Linked DNA regions of Caenorhabditis elegans. The protein of the gene in region 2 interacts with the protein of the main gene of each other region in a biochemical or structural test. Each region holds a gene or a part of one and is shown on either strand. Other genes may lie near its edges. The genes, in order: nlp-13 and dmsr-2.

Region 1 (3,923 bases), on a different chromosome or scaffold from region 2:
TGTTGAAGTTTTGCTGATCCGGATTTTCAATCAGTTGTATTTATTTAGGGGGTTTTAAGCATCTTGAATGATTAATTATTCGAACCAGCTGGATCCTGAGGAGTGCCTGAAAAAAACTAGCAGCCATTTTTCTCAATTAATAATCAGAGGTAATATATATTGTCAGAGTAAAAAACTGTGCCATCGAATTTATCTGAAACTGAGTATGCGAGAATTCCCCTTAAACCTCATGAGGCTATTCTCTCACCATTTAACAATTGTCTACATTTTTTTCTCATGAAACATTTATACAAACTATTTTCTCTCTCAGTTTTTTCGTTAACGGAATCCCTAAACTTGTAACTTCATACCCCCTTACGTCTTTTCTTGGTCTTTTGTCCTCTTATCCGAAATTAGATATTGCTCCCTTTTTTCGGGATTTGTAGCCGATTTGGAGTTGGTATTCTGTTTGAGGAAAAGAAAGTTCAGAATTTCACTTTTCGTTTGTTTGTAACGTTTGTATATAGTTTTTAAATTTAGCGGGAAGATCCAATTTTTTGGGAAAAAAAATTTTACGCGAAATTCAAATTGCCACAGAAACAAGAGAATTTCTGGAATTTTCTTTAAAGTTCTGAACAGTTTCAATAATTTCTGGAAAGTTTCAGATATCTTAGAAAAGTTCTGGAATTTCACGAAAACTTTTGGAAATATCAAGAAAAATCTGGAAAAAAAAACTAGAAACTTTAGTAAGGCTCTCGAAACTTCTGGAAACATCTATAAAAATTTGGAAAAATATGCAAACTTCTGGGTTCTGAAATTTTTTTTTCAATTTTTTGGAAACTCCTAAAAATCTGGACAAAAACTAGAAATTTTAGTAAGGTTCGAAAAATTCTTAGAAAAAAAAACAGTTCGAGTCAGTTCGGGAAGCTTTGAAAATTTTCTGGACAGTTTCAGCAATTTTTGAAAAGTTTTGGAAGTTTCTGGAAACATCTAGAAAAATTTTGAAAAATCTAGAAATTTTTTTAAATTTCTAGAAAAGCTTGCAATCTTCTGGAAACTCCTAAAAAATATGGAAAGTCATATTATAGTTTGTAGTTTGTGACGTCATAGCTCAATGTATCTAAAAGAAAACTTAGTGCCAACTTACACATAGGATAGTTGTACAGTCGACGAATTGCGTTCGCCCGTGAAGCTATAGCTTTAATTATTCGAAATACTTCCTCAAAATGAAAAAAAAATTCTGAAGGTGTTCTGTGATATTTGCTTCCATTTTTTTAACTCACTCATTTTGTTTTTTTCAACTTTTTTCAACAAAAATATCTCAAACATCGCCCACCCCCCTCAAATTCGTCATGTTTCGTCGTCAATTTTCCTTTTTTACTATACGTTTTCATCATACAGCCTACAACAAAAATCTGCTATCTCATTAGTCAAAAATCTCAAAAAATGTTAGTCACTATGCTAGATTTTTACAGTAAAAAATGTCTAATGACGTTCCTAATTAGTGAATCTTGGTTTTTGTCCATCAGCTCCCCGAAAAACAAAAGAAAACCCTTATTAAAGAAGCCACCAAGCCATGGAAACTCTCATTGTTCTTCTTCTACCATTTTTTCTTGACTTGTCATTTTGAATAATTTCGTTCATTTTCTCATTTTTCCATTTACGGTAGGCTTTCAAGATTGATAGGTTCACCTCTTTTTTATGACGTCAAGAACGAGAAAAAAAACGGCGAGGAGGAAAAGGGCGTGTCCTATTGAGATTGAGATGCTCTTGGAGCAGCACACTTTGCTGTTGAACAGCAGCCGGGATGTTTTAAAATTTTCTGGTGTTTCAGAGAACGATACCATCAATTTTTGTGAAAAAGCTTAGTGTGAAATTAAGCTAGACTCTTTCATGTGATTTTTAAAAATAACAAGGGCTTCGGTCTAGACTAGATTTCTTGAACTTGAACTAACTAGAAGTCCACATTTTTTTCTATTTTTTTCCATAATTTTATACATTATGGATGCTCCCTTTTACTTTTTACACCATCACTTCCACTAAAAAATTCTTTCTTCCAGGGTTCCAACATGCAACGATCTCTTCAGATCTTCTGCATCATGTCCGCCATCGCAATGGCATACAGTCAAGGTTTGTGTTGTGTCATTTGATCAGAAACAACCAAACATTAAAGGCGAAATTCGAACCTTTTCCTCCTAATTTCATTGACTAATTGTAACAAAATCCTCTGAGCTTCAAAAATGATGTCAGCTCAGCGGAATCTTTGCAACTGAACACTTTCCAAAATTCCCAAAATTCCCAAAATTTTTAAGGTAGTCGTGACGATAATCAGAGTGCAAAGCGCAACGATTTCTCCCGTGACATCATGTCATTTGGAAAGAGGTCTGGAAACACAGCCGACTTGTATGATCGGAGAATTATGGCTTTTGGAAAGAGACAACCAAGTGTAAGTTGGTGGAAGTTGGGCAATATATTAGAAAAGTACAGTAATCCTACCGTAATCTGATAGTAACTAGTGGTAGTTGAGGTGCCATGTATTTATATAAAATGAGCCATGTTCTCCCAATATTTTTTTTGTATTTAATTTATCTGAGAATAGCTTCAATTTCAATTGAAACAATTGAAAAGACTCCCAAAAAATGTCTAAAAGTCCGACAATTAATCAAAACTCTTTTCCGGTAGTTTACAATTTTCAGACATTTTTATGAGTACTTTTTCCTTTGCAACAATTAAAATTTAAGCGATACTACATTTCCGCGATACTTGAATTTAAGTAATCAATATTCTATAACAGAATTTCAATGAATAATATTAAGAAAACATGCCACGCTGTCTCATTTTGTAGAATTGCTCGCAAACCTCGGCTGCGCATGATCCTTGAGGATCTCGGTGATGGGCTCAAACTAAAATCTAAAAACTACAAACTACACATTACACTACAGTAAAACAAATTACTTTAATCTAACCCAGTCATGTTACCAATTGATACTACTTCGCTAAATTAGGCCGCGGTAGACTACATAATTTTCCGCGAGACTTGAATTTTGTCGGCTGCTCACCCCAACTATGATAAATACATAATAACCTATCATATTTCAGTACGACAGAGACATCATGTCATTCGGCAAACGATCGGCTCCCAGCGACTTCTCGCGAGACATCATGAGCTTCGGAAAGCGATCCTCCTCTATGGTACTACCCTCTTTTTCTTATTTTCTACGTCGTTTCCGTAATCCATCTATTCTACAGTACGACCGTGACATCATGTCATTCGGCAAACGTTCACCCGTCGACTACGATCGTCCGATTATGGCATTCGGAAAGCGGGCCGAGGACTACGAACGTCAGATCATGGCCTTCGGACGGCGCAAGTAAACCATTTGGTTGATGACAATTGGGCACCCTTCATCTTGTGTATAATACTCGTTTAAGACTCATTTTAAAGCGTAATTTGATTTTTTTTTCATCTCATTTGAAATAAGAAAATTGTGTTGTTTCACCCCCTTCATCCCATTCAACAAGCGTTCAGTTTATTCGGATCTTTGTCTATTTCTTCTCTTGCCAATTCTCTATGCTTCCCTACTTATGATCTCATCATTCATTTCAACCTCCCCCCAAAAAAACCTCTCATCCCCACCTTTTTCTTATGTGCGTGCGCAGACGGACGAAAAAAAATGAAGTTGAATGTTAGACCATGTTTCCGATTTTTGAGAATGTGGATTTCGGCAGCAGGATTGTTGAGAAACTATCTAATATTGAACCAAAAATCTGGTACTGTACCCAATCGTTAACATTTAAAAATGTTCGCTCAAAATCAGCACAATTGCTCTATGACTAAAGATTTCCTTAAAAAAAATTCTGAAAATAAACAAGGAAACATTAAGCCTTGCTATTCCAGGGGTGATCACGTCAAACGGAAGCACGTCTCCGGAAATATTATCAAA
Region 2 (3,923 bases):
ACGTCACCGGTGTGTGGCGGCTTCTTCCCCTTCTTCTTCTCCTCAATTTAAATCTTTTTTTTATCCAGCCATATTCCACAAATTATTTGTATCATCTGCAATTGACACCATGTCCACTTTTCCTTCAAAACCGTGAGCCCACTTCCTCCCCAAGTGGGCGTGGCCTGAGCCCACTTTTTTTGGGTGTCAGCTCGGCTCCGCCCACTTGGTGGAAATGGAGGAGAGCAGCGGAGCAGCTCACAGACTTTTGAGCTGATAATGTGTGCAAATTTTTTGAAATTTGCACACGGGTCTTGCAACGAAATGTTTATAATTTTTTTAATCAATTATTCAAAGTGGAAGAGTTTTTGAAACTTCTAGGCCACGAGAATAAATTTTTCAGGGGATCCTCATGATGTCCCAAAATTAAAAATTGTTCGGTGGCCTAGAATTTCGGAAAACTCTTCCACCCTGCAATGATACAATGAAGTTCCCAAAAATTAGACTGCATTGAAGTTTCTAGGCCACCATTAACCTTTTGGTGGCCGTAAGGGACACTTCCTACCCCACCTGCTAACTTTCAGGTTAAAAAAACTGATGATTTTTCAAAGCAATATAAAAGTAAAGTAATGTTTTCTAGGCCACCATTCTCCTCCTCGTGACTGTGGGAGTATCTAACCCCACAACACAACTTTTTGGTTTTTCTAGGCCATCACATCCTTACTGGTGGCCGCAGGAGTATCCTCTTACCTTTCAGATTTTATTTTTTATTTTCTAGGCCACCAAATTCCTCTTGGCGACCGCGGGGTTACCCGCAAACCCCAGTTTCTGTTTTCAGTTTTCTAGGCCATCACATCCTTACTGGTGGCCGTAGGAGTATCCTCTTACCTTTCAGATTTTATTTTTGATTTTCTAGGGCACCATATTCCTACTGGTGACCGTGGGGGTACCAGCAACCCCCAGTTTCAATTTTTAATTTCCTAGGCCACCATAGTTATCCAGGTGGCCGTGAGGGTATCCCCTTACCTCTCTGATTTTATTTTTGATTTTCTAGGCCACCATAGTCCTTCTGGTGGCTGTGGGGATCCATGGGAGTACCAGCAACCCCCAGTTTCAATTTTAAATTTTCTAGGCCACCACATCACTCTTGGTGGCCGTGGGGGTACCCGCAACCACCCAGTTTCTGTTTTAATTTTCTAGGCCACCATAGCCCTCTTGGTGGCTGTGGGATTACCCGCAACCCCCAGTTTCTGTTTTCACTTTTCTAGGCCACCAAATTCCTCTTGGCGACCGTGGGAGACCCCGCTCACCCCCAGCTACTGTTTTCAATTTTCTAGGCCACCATTCTCCTCCTGGTGGCCGTGTGGGTACCCCACTCCCCCTCAGATTCAATTTTAAATTTCTAGGCCACCACATCCCTATTGGCGGCCTTGTGGGACCCCGCTAGCCCAAGCTTCAATTTTAAATTTTCTAGGCCACCATAGTCCTCCTAGCGGCCGTGGGGCTACCCCACTCCCCCTCAGAATCAATTTTTGATTTTCCAAAGCCTATATAATTCTAGATATGTTTTTTTTCGACCCACCACTGCTGAATAGTATCGTATTTCTCTTCTTCCTGTGCTCTCAAGAATTTATTTAAAATGAAAAAATTGGAACGGATGGAAAAAATAGCCGGACAAAAGTTGTGAATTTACATAACTCAAGAAGTCACTCTCTTTCCTTTTTTCTTGTGCCGTTCTTCTCGAGAATTTTGCTTTTTTTTCACGACGGGGCCCGCTTCTCCTCGTCTCGTAATTTAATTCAAGTTTTTGGTCTGCCGGAAAGCAAATTTTTTTCTTCATTTTTTTTTTGCTTTTTGGGCGGTCCCCCTCTAAATCAAGTTTCCTGTGACATTTCCCCGAGAACGAAAAGTTCACCTTTGCTCCAAAATGTGATGCTCAATTCTAAAATGCTCATAAATTTCAGACCCTCTCAAATAATTATTCAACATGAGTTGCATGGGTCTCAACACGACGGAGCTGCAGGAGGCCAGGGACTACTTTCGGCAGGTAAAGCTACCGTGCTCTATTGATAAACAGATGTTTTTATAGAGGGCAGGGGTGGATACTGTAGTTTTTATAAATTTTTCGGGTCTCACAGCGATTTTGAATTTTTCAGATTTTAACAAAACATTGAATTGAAAAAGAAATCTGGTGGCCTAGAAATTTCAAAACCCTGTAACACCGGATTCCACCTTCCGATTTTTTGCAATTTTCTAGGCCACGTAAAATCTGGCGCAGCCACCGAGGTACTTTGGTGGCCTAGAAATTTCAAAACCCCATGACTATGGTTCCCATTATCAGATTTGGTTTTTTTTTGCAATTTTCTAGACCACGTAAAATCTGACGCGGTCCCTGAAGGCCTAGAAATTCCAAAACCACCTAAATTTCGTTTTTTTTGTCCTATTGCCTAAATATTTCACCAAAGTAGTAGTAGTTGCTTCATTAAAAAAAGACAATGGAAGAAGAATCTCTAGGCCACGTGTTGAAAAAAGTTGTTTTTGAATTAAAATTTGCATATTATTATTATTGCTTCTAGTAATCATGTTCGTCATCTCCCATTTCCTGTAACATATGAAAGTCAAATTCCAGCTCTAGCTCTCCGAGCCGCAAACACCTAATTATCACGTTTTGCTCTCCCAACTCGACCGACCGGTGGCTCATTTCTATTCTTTTCTCAGTCTCTTGTTCAAAAAAAAAAGGAAAAACATACATATATATGTGAATGTGAACACAAAATATACATTAATTATCGGACTGATTCATATTTGTACATTTCCCTTATTATGGAAATGTGTGGGAGCTGCTACTGTACAAAAAATGAGCATAACACGTCGGCTTGGGGGGACTAGCGTGGCCTAGAAAACTCAAGGTGGCCTAGTTTTTAGTCTTAAAATTTCTGCTCCCTTCTTAAAAGCTTACAAATCTCAAGTTGATCTATGTCACTAATTCAGACAACTCAAAGAAAGATCACAGTTCTGGGAGAGGAGAACCCAGAAATTGCTTGCGTGGCCTAGAATTTTCAAGGTGACCTAGTTTTTTTTTAAAAATTTTGTACAGTTTGAGGACTGAAGGCTTAACAAACATGTACCCAGAAATTTCCAGGTGGCCTAGGAACTTCAAAATGGTCTAGTTTTCAAATTTACACCTGCCCGACCCCCTAGAAGTTATTCACCAAAGTTTTGCGGTGGCCTTGAATGTACTAGGTATAATTTGAAAAAGTTTAACTAGCTTTTAAAGGTTTTTAACAAAAAAACCCAATTATGAAATTTCTAGGCCACCTGAAAATTCCAAGTACTGTAAGTTTCTCTTTTTCAATAAATTTTTCCTGATTTCTTGTCATCCAGTTACTTTGCCAATTAAAAACGTGAATTTGATAAACAACAGAAATTCAAATCCGTGGCCTAGGTTTCAATTCCTCTTCCACAGAGCAGTGGGGGCACACAGCAACCTCAGCAAAAAAAGGGTCACCCAGCAAAAAAAAATTTGATTTTTTCAACTAACATTTACCTTATCATAGAAATACCCCAATTTTTGGTTTTCTAGGCCACCAAAATCTTTCTGGTGTTCGTGGATGGCTTGGCAACTACAAAATCTACCTTCTAAATCAAAATTTCCAATTTTTCCGAGAACGTGAGCTCCTGAAGTTTCTAGTGATCTAGAGAACCTTGACCGCTTCGAGCTTCACCCTTTTCATTGAATCCTTATCGGGTTTTTTTTCCTATTCTACAACACATTCCCCTTTTCAGCGTAACACCAAAATCGAATCATGCTACGGGAGAAAGAGTAAAAGGGATGGGCAAAAAAAAGAACACACGGCAATGAAATTGAGTTTTTGCGCGGGAAGGGATAGGGCGAGAAAAAGAGCATCAACTCTTCTGCATCATCGACCTTTTGGGACATTGAG

What was found.
Region 1: the proteins of dmsr-2 (region 2) and nlp-13 interact in a test that uses a peptide from one of them, tested with the Caenorhabditis elegans proteins (one large-scale study listed by BioGRID).

The regions. Positions count from the first base shown.
Region 1 is NC_003283.11:4,234,379-4,238,301, forward strand, and holds nlp-13 (Neuropeptide-Like Protein), read left to right. Parts: upstream 1-2,039; 5' UTR 2,040-2,048; coding exon 2,049-2,109; intron 2,110-2,291; coding exon 2,292-2,425; intron 2,426-3,078; coding exon 3,079-3,171; intron 3,172-3,228; coding exon 3,229-3,354; 3' UTR 3,355-3,678; downstream 3,679-3,923.
Region 2 is NC_003279.8:2,531,325-2,535,247, forward strand, and holds the start of dmsr-2 (G-protein coupled receptors family 1 profile domain-containing protein), read left to right. Parts: upstream 1-1,943; 5' UTR 1,944-1,966; coding exon 1,967-2,026; intron 2,027-3,923.